2 linked regions of the Drosophila melanogaster genome follow. The protein of the gene in region 2 interacts with the protein of the main gene of each other region in a pairwise test. Each region holds a gene or a part of one and is shown on either strand. Other genes may lie near its edges.

Region 1 (4,344 bases), on a different chromosome or scaffold from region 2:
AGCCCTTGGTCGCGATGCACCCTTTCAGATGCGCTACCTAGGAAACCCCGAGGTGGATCTGCGCCGGCCTACATTGGTACGCAGCTGCATGGACTGCGCCTGCACCAATGGCATTTTGGAATTCCTCACGGAAATGGGCTTCCGCCTGGAGTTCGAGTACATAGCAAAGGGTTGGAATCATGAAATATATTACGCTTGGGTTGCCAAAATGGATAGTGACAAATGGACTTATTTCAGGCTATATGTTCCGCAAGGGGCGCATGAAGATTACCGTCTCCAAGCTCATTAAGATTGTGCCCGGCAAGCAGCAGGACATGGCCAACGAGCCAATCTCACAAAGCTACATAGTGGAACTCTCTGTGGTGGCGCCAACGGGGCAGGAGAATGTCGGCGAGGAAATGCGCGTGTTTGCCGAGCAACTAAAGCCACTCGTGCAGCTCGAGAAGATCGACTACAAGCGACTGGGCGGCATGCCGTAGTTTACAATAAAAGTGCACATCGCATTTATCCAACAGTTATTTAATTTCTTAAATGTAAGAAAATATACAAATTTACAGAAAAGAACCGAGAGGGAATGATTACACTGCCAGAGTAAAAAATATCTCAAATTCAACCTTACACACCCACATGACACGACAACAACGGACTTTCCCAAAGCAGTGATAAAGAAGCTGCGGGGCGGTTAATCCTTAAAGGCCTCATTAAGAGCCGCCAGATTGCGATCGCTCACATAACTCTGGAGATCGCTGCGGCCCATCAGCGAAATGACCATCTTCAGCGTACTCCAAATAGACTCGGACATCTGGTTCTGTCCTCTAAAGGTAGCCGCCATCGCCGCATTGGGCAGCTCTCGGGCGGCGTTAGTGTGAGCCTGCATGGTAAGCGCTGTGAGTAAGTGCTCCACAGCTTCCTTGTAGGCCTTAAGGTTCATGCAACATACGCCCACGTTGTAACGCACACGGATGAAGCCCGGTTGGAGCTGCAGCGCCTGCTGATAAGCCTCCACCGCCTCCACGGAGCGCGAGCCGTTGGCCAAACTGGCCCCCAATCGGTTCCATGTCTTCGCATTTTGGGGATCCACCTGCAGAGCGGACTGGTAGCAGTCCACCGCCTTGTCGAACTCCCCAGATAGATTGTAGAGCACGCCGAGGGCATCCTGGACTTCGGCATCCACCTCCGAAGGGTGCTGTCGAACGGCTTCCAAGTAGATCTGCTGCAGATCGCGCAGCTTACTCGGACCAATCAGCGACGAAGCCAACGAAGTGCCCTCGGCCTGCAGCTCCGGATGGGCTGCGACCAGGTGCTGATACTTGGGATGCACTGTCAGCCAGTTGCACAGCATGCGCACGGCGTTGTTCTGCAGGCCCTCGTTGGTGTAGCACGCGGCCAGGGCCATCAGGACCTGTTGGTTGTCCGGTTGCAAGTCGTAAGCCCGCTTAAGTGCCGCAATGGCCTGGGGATCCATTTCGTTCTCTGTCTGCGAAGTGCCCAGCAACTGCCAGACCTCAGCGCGCTCCGGTTGCTTTTTGGCCGCCACCTCGAAACATAGAACTGCGCTGGGTATATCCCCTTTGGACAGGTACTCCTTACCCTTTTCAAACGGGTTCTCCACATCAGACATGGGGTTGCCCTCGGCGAACTCGTACTCCTTATAAGCGTCCATATTGTCGTTGTACTCCGACAGCCACGGATGCTCGTTCTCGTCGGCCAGCTTCTGCCACTCGTCTTGCAGCCGCTCCCAGAACTTTTCGTTGAAGTTGGCGGCGGTTTGCTCTTTTTGTTCGGTGCTGCGCTGGTAGTCGCTGATCCAGTCGTCCAGCGATTCCCCCTGTGGCGCCTGTGGCAGATGATCTGTGATTATAGTTTCCATGGCGGAGTCAAAGAAGGGGTCCTGTTGCTGTCCTGCCGCAATGGGCATCAAAGGCTGACGCAATGGCGGCAGGGACCGAAAGTTCTGGCTACTGATCAGGGGCTCGTCGAAGAACTCCTGGGCATGCTGCAGGTCCTGCTGCTGTGCCTGCATGTGGATCATCTTGTTGGGCAGGGCGGGTGCCAGTCCGCGGGCAAAGTCCTGTCCCCACTGCTCCGCCTGCTGAGAGTGCATCTGCTGCTGCGGATTTCCGTGAATATTTATGTCCCGCATCTCCTGGAGCAGAGTGTCCATCTGAAATGACTGCGGTGGGGCAGTGACCTGTCCCAGGAACTCGTTGATCAACTGGTCCTCGGGACGAGCAGCGCGCTCGAAGTGTCGCTGCACATAGCCCTCATCCTTGTGGGCAACATCGCGGGTGAACTGTCCGCCCAGTTGCATGAGAGGATTAACTCCACCGCAGTCGCCCTCGACCAATGGGCGGAAAGACATGGTGTTCGAAGTGGAGATGCTACGTAACTGGGGCAACCAACGATAAGAAAAGGGGCCAAATCAGGTCCAAAACAAAAGTCCAAATGTCACAAAGATTACCTGTTTATCGGCCGTTATCGAAGCTATCGGCTTTGTGACAGTGTTGCACAGCGCTCTAATAATAATAAAATATATCGCCGCGCAAAATCTTATCCGCCAGAGAATTGGTTTCGAACGCCAAATCCCCGACTGCACCATGGACTACGACCTTTTTCAGTCGGATGACGAGGAGATCCTGGCTACCTTCATACAGGCGACACAGAAGCAGGAAACCCTGAGCGCGCAAATAGACGTGGACGATAGCGAAGAGGACCTAGTCGACGGTCTACACTTGCCCGAGTTCAACTGCAGTGGCCGAGACACTCTGAAGAGCCAACTGTGCGAGGGAGGCTTTCTGGGGAATGGCTACGCCCAATTGGATCCGCCCCGCTCTCGCCTGGATTATCTCTGTTTTGACTTTGCTCCGGCTCAATTAGCGGTTGGCGCGGTAAGAAACTACCTGTACGGCGAGGCCTGGTGAGTTTAGAGCTCCCCTGGCAGCTGCCAACAAGTACAACTCTTCCATTCTCAGTAAGAATGTGCAGAAGCTGTTAACCGTCGTGATGGGCCAGCAACACCTGCAGGCCACGGCCGCCTCTATGAACTCTGGTTGGTATAGAGTGCGCCAGCAGGTCACACACTTCTACCATCTGATGCTGCTCCTACGAGGCAATGAGCTGCTGCCTTCACATTTTCTTGATGGGTTTCGACAATTGCTCAACGATCAGCTGGATGCGGATACCTGGAAGGTTTTGTATTTTGCGGAGCACAACAAGGGAAACGACTGCCAGGCGCCGGCGTATCACCTGTATCACGGCGTACTGGAGTGGCGTTTTCTGGACCTGCATATACTGTACGCCTCTGGGAATGATCAAGCGTTCCTAGGGCAGCTGGAGCGCACACTCGACGATCTGATCGTTTGTGCTGGACATCACTACCGCAGCAAACATCGCTCGGAGCTCATCCATTCCTCGCCGTTCATGTGTCGCTGCAACAAGGAGCTGTGGCTGCTGCTGAAACGTCTTATTCCCAAATGGCTGGGAGAACGGGAGCTAGACTTTTGGACTCTATTCCACAAGGCCATGCAGAGGCACAAGTCACTCCACTTCCAGGGTGAGTGCACAAAGAAGCTAGACCGTGCGGCTTCCCCTCATCTTATAGTCGTTTTTCTTCTCGAGGTGAGAGCAATGCAATTTCTCTGGCATACCACGAACTCTATTCCTGGTTGAGGCTAGGACTGGCCCGCTTGGACGAATACAACAGTGAGGGTTGGTACCAGCCGGATCACTCGCCGCTCACTGCGGCACCAGAAAGCTTCCAAACTGCCAGTCTGCTTAAGCAATTTCTGGCGAGCCAGCCGGACGAACAGCAGCGGCGGGTCTACCTAATTCAACTCTCTCCCCTTCAACTGCAGCTGGGCAAGCCGGATACTGATGTCCTGTGCCAGCTGTGGGAGTACTTTCACCGATCCCTCAACTGCAATTTTAGTGTGGGAACTGAGCTAGATCAGCTGCCGCTTACCTGTTCCAATGGGTCGGCCTACGTCGATCGCTACAACAAACTGCTGTCTAAGTCGCATATAGAAGATTTGAATCTGAGCAGTTTCACCATGTACGCGTGGATGCTGGGCAAAACCTTGAAGCTTTTACCATCGCAGGGCAGAAGCAACCAACGTCAGAAACTACTCGGCCGCATATTCAGCAAGTTTAGTGCCGCGAAACTTTTGGCTCTGAATGAGCCTGGTATTCACCATGTGATCGAGCTGTTTCTGTGCCTGCTGCTCTGCCACGAAGATCTCAGCGAGTTGGCGCCCAAGCTGCGCGAAATGTTGCTCTGCCTGGCCCTGGAAAAACTGCCTCCGGTGCGAAGGATTCTCGTGGCCAAGGGACACATGGCCCTGCTGC
Region 2 (7,764 bases):
CTGTGGCCATAACAATTAGTTATCTGCTCCTCGATCGGTTAATTTCTCTTTTGTATGTTGTATCTGATGGGTATGTGCTATATACAAAATATAGCAAACAAAAGTTACTTGGTTTTTGTGGTTAATATTGCACTCATTTCAAGGAATCCGCCTCCTGGTCTAGTTAAGGTTTCGTCTGCGCCGGAAAACCAATGCGAAAATGGATCGGATGCGCCACCAGCGACTTCGTCGCCCCGTGTGAATCTTTTCCGAATTGGAGTCCGTGCCCAGGGCCTTGTGCATTTCCTTGCGTCGAATCTCGCGGACCAACGTGTAGAATGCCTCGTCGATGTAATGACGCAGTGCAGCCGATGTCTCAAAAAACGGGCAGCCGAACTGGTTGGCGAGATTCCGGCCCTCCTCGGTGGTCACGCGTCGCTGCGACTCCAGGTCCACCTTGTTGGCAATCAGAACCAGCGGAATGTCCTCGGACAGGCGGACACGGGTTATTAGTTTCCTGTACTCGGAGGCCTCCTGGAAGCTGTGGCGGTCGGTGACCGAGTAGCATATGATGAAACCTTCGCCGCAACGCATGTATTGGTCCCGCATGGCCGTGAACTCCACCTGGCCGGCGGTGTCAAGGATGTCGAGCAGGGCGGCCTCATTGTCGATGACCGCCTGTTGCTGGTAGGAGTCCTCTGCAGCAGCAAAAAAGAAAAAAAAAACCGGTATACATTTAGTGGGGTTGTGGGGGCTTGTGCCTTAGACGCCTTGCGCACCCTGCGCCTTACTCACCAATTGTGGGGTCGTGGTAGTCCAGGAAACTGTGGCTCACGAACTGAAGGGTGACAGCTGTTCGGGTTTCGTCGTCGTTTTCAGAGGGCGTTGGGAGTGGTGGTTGGTGGAGTTTCGTGGGTGTCGGTGGTACGGGGGTCAAAACAAAGCGTAAAAGAAATTGAGATAATTTATTGATTTTTCGCAGCCCCAATCAAAGTGCGCAGTGATAACTCGGCATTTTCTTTCGTCTAATCCATGGCTAGAATAGCTCACCTGACTTGCCAACGCCACCGTCGCCCAGGATGACAATCTTATAGACCCGCAGACCGCCGCGCATATTCTGCGGCGGCACCGGAGGCGGCTTGATCAGGCTCCCGTTGTCCCTGTGGTCGCTGGGCACCCGCATCGAGTCCGTGTCGGCGGCGCTGGTGCAGGACCTCAGCTTGCTGGATCGCTTCAGGGCCGCACAGCCGATGGACATGTCGCCGGCCATAATACCGCTGACCTCGCGGATTTAGACCTGGTCCGTGTCGGTCCTAGTCCCGTTCGATCGGATCACACGGAGAACCTCTGCACCGCCGTCGCCAATTGTGTATTATTTTCTTGTTTTTTTTTTTCTTGGTCGGGGTTGGTTCCCTTCGAGATGGGCGCGTGACGATACTGGAGACTGCAGTGCGCATGAATTTTAATGACATGCGATATTTAAAAAAAAGCTAATTTTTTTAATTTAAATTATTTACTTGTATTTAATACTTTGAGCACTTTACATTTTAAATCAAATAAATCAATTTGTTCTGTTGTATGGATAGCGCATAGACATAAAATATGAAAAATCCACGAGTAACAGAAAAAATTACATTTGGGTTTTCTAAACGTTTGCGTTGCTGAACTGTTAAAATTAAATTCAATCTATCGACACAACACGATTTAAAATAAAACATAATTATTAGAATTAAATAAATGTATAAATATTTATGCGTAAATATAGTTTTTGAGAGCTGTCATGAGTTTTCCATCCAGAATAATAAAATTGAAATAGCGGTGCCTTTACTGCCCAGCTGTCATCTCTAGCTTTCATCATTCCCGCCGGATCTGGCAACGCCACTGTCTCTTTATAAATAATTTTCCCACGGTGCGAGCGGTATTTGCATTTAGTAACGTGCTGTTCGTCGATCCAGATCGCCCGTTTTGCCCGGTCCGCTCGAAAAGGAAAAACAAACACTCTCCATTATATTGGCATAGGTTTTAGTGCCTTTAGCGAGCAAAATGTCGGGCGATGTGCAGCCGCGTAAGCGCAAGGATAAGCGCCGAAAACGCGGTAAGTCCCTGTTACGGTACTTTTACTTACAATCATACTCGAATGGACCGTTATTTGGTGTGAAAAACGGTTTTGTCTTTTCGCCGCCGCCGCGTAGCAAGCAGTTCATTTCTTTTATTAGCATAATAATATTGTCGAGTGCCTTTAAAAATAACTTTGCCCTATTATATAAAATTATACATCTCGCCTGTTTTCTGTCGCTATGCGTGTGCCGATCGAGCAGGAAAATATATATGCATGACATGTGTGCGGGCGAGGAAGGCGGGAGGTAGACCATAAAGTGGGTATTTCGATCGGTAGCCAAAGAAAAAGGGCATTGAATCGGTGTGCAAAAATCGAGAAAAATCAGAGAGAGTGGTTTTCCCTGATTTATTTATCTTTTTCCCAAGGCAAACAGATGTTTCGTTGTCCCTGGGGTATCCTCTTATTGCTATCTCTCTCTGCCACTTTTTCTCTCTATTGCTCTCTTCTCTGCGTTATCTTTATCTCATTGGAGAATGGAGAGCTCCGTCACCTTCTCGGCAAATTAATTCCAATGCAACAGAGATCGAGATTTACATACACAGATACTACAATAGATACCAGATAATGATGCTTCCGTAAAGATTCTGGGGCCATTACACCCACGGCACCGAAATAAGTAGCCACGATGGTGCATATATGTGTAAAGCCATTTAATTTCACTTGGCCAACTGCCCAAGAGCATGACTGGGCGGCTTCTTTGTTTATCGTTGCGCATATTTAGGCATAAACAATTCCCCCCAACCGGCGCCGTCTTATCAGCTTGTAATGCCGGTATATGTCTCATTGTAACTAACTTTTCGTCTAGATGATCGCAAGTCCGAGGGCGATGTGACTGTTCTGCGTCAGTCCAGTTTTCAAGGTAGAGAAATAGATACCCCCCTATATGTATTTTTCCCAACACACCCCGGAATGCTTTGCCAAATTAATTGAATGTCTCGCTCAGTTACTAAAACCAAGTAAAACACTCGAAGGTGGATTCAATTAAACTGCTTGTAATCACATGTGTTTTTTTATTATTCACTATCATGCAAATGTCGGATCTCAGATGACGACGAATCTTCGCACGGCGTTCACATTACAAAGATGGGAAACGAAGATCTCCACCTGCATGTGCACCACGATCACGGAACTGGCGGTCACTGGTGCGCCAAGATTATATTCTTCGCCCTGATGGCAGTGCTCCTCGGTTTGGTGGGTCTGATCATCATGGAGAATCGCGGACTGGAGGATCGTAAGTTATAGAATTCTTAGAAATTTGAATTGTACTGAATACCTGTTTTATTTTAGTGGACACTCCTCTGTCGGAGTCTAGGTTCTCGAAAGTTTTTGATGGCTGGGTGGACGAACATCGAGATGAGCATGATGGTCACGATGTGCAGGAACCCTCGGGAGAGGCGTTAGATGATCACGATGAACACGACGACCATGATGATCATGAAGACGAAGGTATGTTAATATTAACTTAATATAAATTCTTTTAAATATATGAACACTTTTTAGACGAAGAGCCCCTCACAGAAGAGTTAGAAGAAGAACTGGAGGAAGAGGAAGAGCCAACTGAGGAGGATGAGCCAGCGGCAGATGAAGAATATGAGGAGGATGAAGATGAGGAGAACAATGCGGGTGAAAACATAACTGCCGAGGATGCGGAGGAGGAGGAAGAGGAGGAGGATAACGATGATGAAGGCACCGTAGAGGCAACTGTAGAAGCTACCACTGAAGCCACTACGGAAGCCACTGGCGAATATGAAGCTGAAGAAGATGATGAGGACGAAGCAGCAGCAGATGATGATGCAGTAGAGTCCACTGAAGCGCCGCTCTCGAAAGCTGAGGAGGTATGATCCTTAGTTTGTGAAAAGATTGAATATTTCCAAAAATTAATTAATTTCGCAGCAGGAAGATGATGAGGATGAGGATGAGGAAGAGCAAGAGATCGAAGAATCAGTAGAGCCGGAAAGATCCCAATATGCGGCACAAAGTGCTCCCGCCAAAGATAATAATGACGACGACGATGATGATGTTAGTAAAATATCTAATTGCTTGTTGGTTTAAATGGTTTTCTTATTTGTTGCTAAATAACTTTCTTATTGCAGGATCAAGACAAAAACGATGCAGATGATGGGGATGACGACGAATTTGAGTCCCTGGCTCAGCAATTCGAAAATGATCCCGAGGATACAGTGCCAGCAAAAGCTGTAGAGAGTGAGGAGCAGGATCAAGACCAGGCTGATGAGGAGGAGCCCAAGGAAGAGGGCTCCTCTTGGTTGGCATCACGTAAGTAGCGAAGGAATGAATAGTTGAACGGTTAACGGATCTCGCAGGCTTAGAACCATAAGAACTGACCGACTGAAATATGCTCCACCTTACCAAAACTGAAAGAATATGCACAACCACACACAACCAAGAACTTAGAAACCGAAATTGTACAAGAAAGTGCAAAAGGCATTTGTTTGTTTTCTCATACTAAAACCTGACTCATTTACAGTTGCCGTTAAATTTGGCGTTGGCGTTGCACTTGCCTTAGTTTCACGCCTTGTATTGATAAGGAAAAGTCCAAATACAAGTGAGTCTTCAATGCTGATCTGCTCCCCCGAATCTCCGCTCTTTGTATTCCGCTCTCTGCTCTTGATCTCTATCAATCATATCCGACAAGCACGCCAAATGTTATGCTAATCAAATAAACCATACTCCGGGGAAACTTTTCAGTAACTATTACTAAGCGCCGCTTTTCGTTCTAACCCACCAAGCGATTGGTAAAATCAGCAAATGACCTCATTGTCTCGTGATTTATTCTCGTTGTATTAACAAAACTAAAAACAAACTCTGGGCAATGACTTCTCTTTTTGGTTTCATTAGAATGAGAACTCATTGGCCCTGTCTAAATTTTGCACTTTCTTCAGTTAGCTTATTTTGATTATGATTTTATATTATTTCTTGAATCTGATTGTAGTCACAGCTTTGTTCCAATTATTATTCGACCAATGTATGTATGTACGGAAATTGTTGAATGGCTTTGTTCTTGCTCGATTAATAATCCCTTAACTCGAATAACGTTCGAATCTTCCGTGGTGAATGCATAGCTGAGGATGAGCCCGCACCAGAGACTATATTCAGGCGAAGATTGACGATTGCCACTGCTGAGGATCACATACCGGATGATGTGGAGGAGCTGCCCCCTTTGGACGATGGTTGGAGATATGAATTATTAATTGCAAACTTCGGCTAGCCGAAGTTGCTTCCAAATCATTTGATTGACAAGTGATCTGGAAGCCTATGCTGTATGATATGCCTGGCCAAGTCCAGAGTATTAACTTCAGTCGTATCCCATTGTCTTAAAAGAATATTCCGAGGAAGAAATCGAAATCGAAGAGGAAATCGAGGTGGAAATCAGTGATATTGAGGAGGAGGAGGAGGAAGTACGTCACGATAACGACGACAACGTGGCCTCCATGGCCAGTTATGTGCCCGAGACATTTGAGCAACTGAGCGCCATGTACAAATACGCCCAGGAGCCTACGAAGGATGCCAAACCCGAACAGAAAGAAAAGGAGCCGGAAAAGCCAGTAGGTCACAGCGATATCTACGTGGAATACGAAGATGGTGCTATCGAGGATTACGAGCATGACGGAGTTAGCGATGAGGAGATCACCGACGAGGAGGACGAAATCTCCGACGTGGACGACGCCGATCTGATGAACCGGCTGGAAGCGAAATACGGTCGTCTGCCCGTCAAGGAGTTTGAGAGCGATCCGGACTCTGACGACCCCAGCTGGACACGTAATTACTAAACGCACAAATCACCACGTCTGTCGATGACCACCCGACTCCATTCTCCATCCAACATATATTCGATCGATCACATAAGCTATCGTAATCATAGGCCCAACACTACTTTAAGACACACGACCAAAAACCGATCGCTTTACACATAACAGATCGTAAGTGTTAGCCATAGGATATACAAACTGACACCTCACACAAGGTGGAGCTATCTAGGCCGTAACCGTTCAAAATTTCACTTCATTTTTTTTGTTGAAAACAATTTGTTCTAATTCAGATTCTTAATCTCTAAATAGAAATAAAGCCGAAAGAAGCTGCACCTGCTCCCGCAGAGAAAGAGGATCCTTTCGAGCAAGAGTTGCGCAAGGCAAACGAGGAGATGATTAGGGAGGTATGTCGCAACCAAAAGGTGTCTCCTTCACCTGGATTAACCCGTGAACTATATATCTTCGATATATCTCTAGCTCAACAATCACTAAAGAACATCACAACAAAAAAACAAAAAACACAATCTCATTTCAAAGCTTTAGTTTATGTTTGCTTGTCAAGTTCATTAGATCATATAACAGCTTAGTCATGTAAGAACAAAAAAGGATAATTAATCAAATGATAGGATTTAACCTTATTCATGTATTTATAGAAACGCTCATTTCAAGAGACCCATATATGATTGGGATGAACCCACGACCAGTTACTCCAAGAACTACACACCCACTTGGAGTAAACTTTGATCGCGGGCTCATCCTTGGAACTCCTTTCAACAGCGTTTCAATTCTTGAGAGAATGATTTTATACTAATTGCATGCTTTCGTATTTTGTCTAACCATTTTTTTTTTGTGTTTTGGCTGGCGAATCGCGAACTAATATCCACCCCAAAGAACTATGCCCAAGCCCTGCGTTCCTTTAACACGCTCACCACCAACTTTGCCCACGAGCCATCGGCCCATTTGGGAAGAGCTCGACTTCTGGAACTACTGGCCAAAAAGGAGCGCAGCAATCAGCGCCTGTGGGAAGCCATCGATGCTTACAAAAGATATTTGGCCTTTGGCGAGCTTGTAGCCAGCAATCAGGAATTTCAAACCGCCGGCGAAAGCTGCATCGAGAATTTGAGATTTTTGGGTAAGTTAACATAATCTGTTAATCTGTTTCACTTTCTACATTGCCTATTGAATTCTAGGTCACCACCGACAGGCAACTACCATCCATGAGCTGCTCATCAATCGTTTGCCTGAGGATCCACGGCTTCGTAACCAACTATCACTCACCTATCTTATGGTAAACAAGTAGGTAAGATAGGCTACTTTGAGCTACAAATACTTTATGATTGTCTCCCAGTCTTCAGCAGGTTGAAAAGGTGGCTGTGGAGACCCTGAAACTTTGGCCCAACAATGCAGTGGCTCAACTTCATTATGGACTAGCACTCAGACAGTTCCATGCTGATTACGCCAAGGCGCTGCCTTATCTAAAATATGCCGTGGAGTCTGGAGAGGAGGGCACGCAAGAGGCTTTCTTCTATTTGTCGCTGGGCGAGACCATGCAGCGCCTGTCCATGAAATCAGAAGCTCTTGAGGTGTACGGTAAAGGTGTTGCCAAAGGATTCTTTGCCAGCCTCTATCAGAGATCGCTGTACAATGAGCCCAGGTTGAGAGCACAGCCATTTTGGCAGCCCAAGGAAACGGGCTATGAAAGGCAGCTGGAGAAGCTGACGCTCAATTGGCGTGCCATTCGCGATGAAGGACTAGCACTGCTGGGAAGAAGTGGATTCTTCGAGGATGAAGCGGAACTGCTGCGCGACAAAGGAGTGTGGCAACAGTATGAGCTATATGCCCAGGGTCGTCGGGTGAAGGACAACTGCCGCAGGGCCCCAATCACCTGTAGCCTGCTGG

Evidence for each region. Proteins that work in one complex are often made in the same cells at the same time.
Region 1: the proteins of Asph (region 2) and Pex5 interact in a two-hybrid assay, tested with the Drosophila melanogaster proteins (one large-scale study listed by BioGRID).

The regions. Positions count from the first base shown.
Region 1 is NC_004354.4:1,866,326-1,870,669, forward strand, and holds Pex5 (peroxin 5), read right to left. Parts: upstream 2,600-4,344; coding exon 2,462-2,599; exon of another isoform or gene 2,390-2,461; coding exon 683-2,389; 3' UTR 507-682; downstream 1-506. Other genes in the region: MED18 (mediator complex subunit 18), read left to right, coding at 1-170, 238-479; CG14803 (uncharacterized protein), read left to right, coding at 2,598-2,917, 2,973-3,553, 3,619-4,344.
Region 2 is NT_033778.4:16,108,598-16,116,361, forward strand, and holds the start of Asph (aspartyl beta-hydroxylase), read left to right. Parts: upstream 1-1,733; 5' UTR 1,734-2,022; coding exon 2,023-2,074; intron 2,075-2,903; coding exon of another isoform or gene 2,904-2,957; intron 2,958-3,143; coding exon 3,144-3,329; intron 3,330-3,385; coding exon 3,386-3,544; intron 3,545-3,598; coding exon of another isoform or gene 3,599-3,604; coding exon 3,605-3,933; intron 3,934-3,991; coding exon 3,992-4,117; intron 4,118-4,191; coding exon 4,192-4,372; intron 4,373-4,583; coding exon 4,584-4,661; intron 4,662-5,178; coding exon 5,179-5,286; intron 5,287-5,437; coding exon 5,438-5,875; coding exon of another isoform or gene 5,876-5,886; exon of another isoform or gene 5,887-6,036; intron 6,037-6,174; coding exon 6,175-6,269; intron 6,270-6,342; coding exon of another isoform or gene 6,343-6,357; exon of another isoform or gene 6,358-6,756; coding exon 6,757-6,997; intron 6,998-7,055; coding exon 7,056-7,161; exon of another isoform or gene 7,162-7,165; intron 7,166-7,213; coding exon 7,214-7,764. Other genes in the region: Ric (Ras-related protein interacting with calmodulin), read right to left, coding at 160-677, 775-831, 1,030-1,249.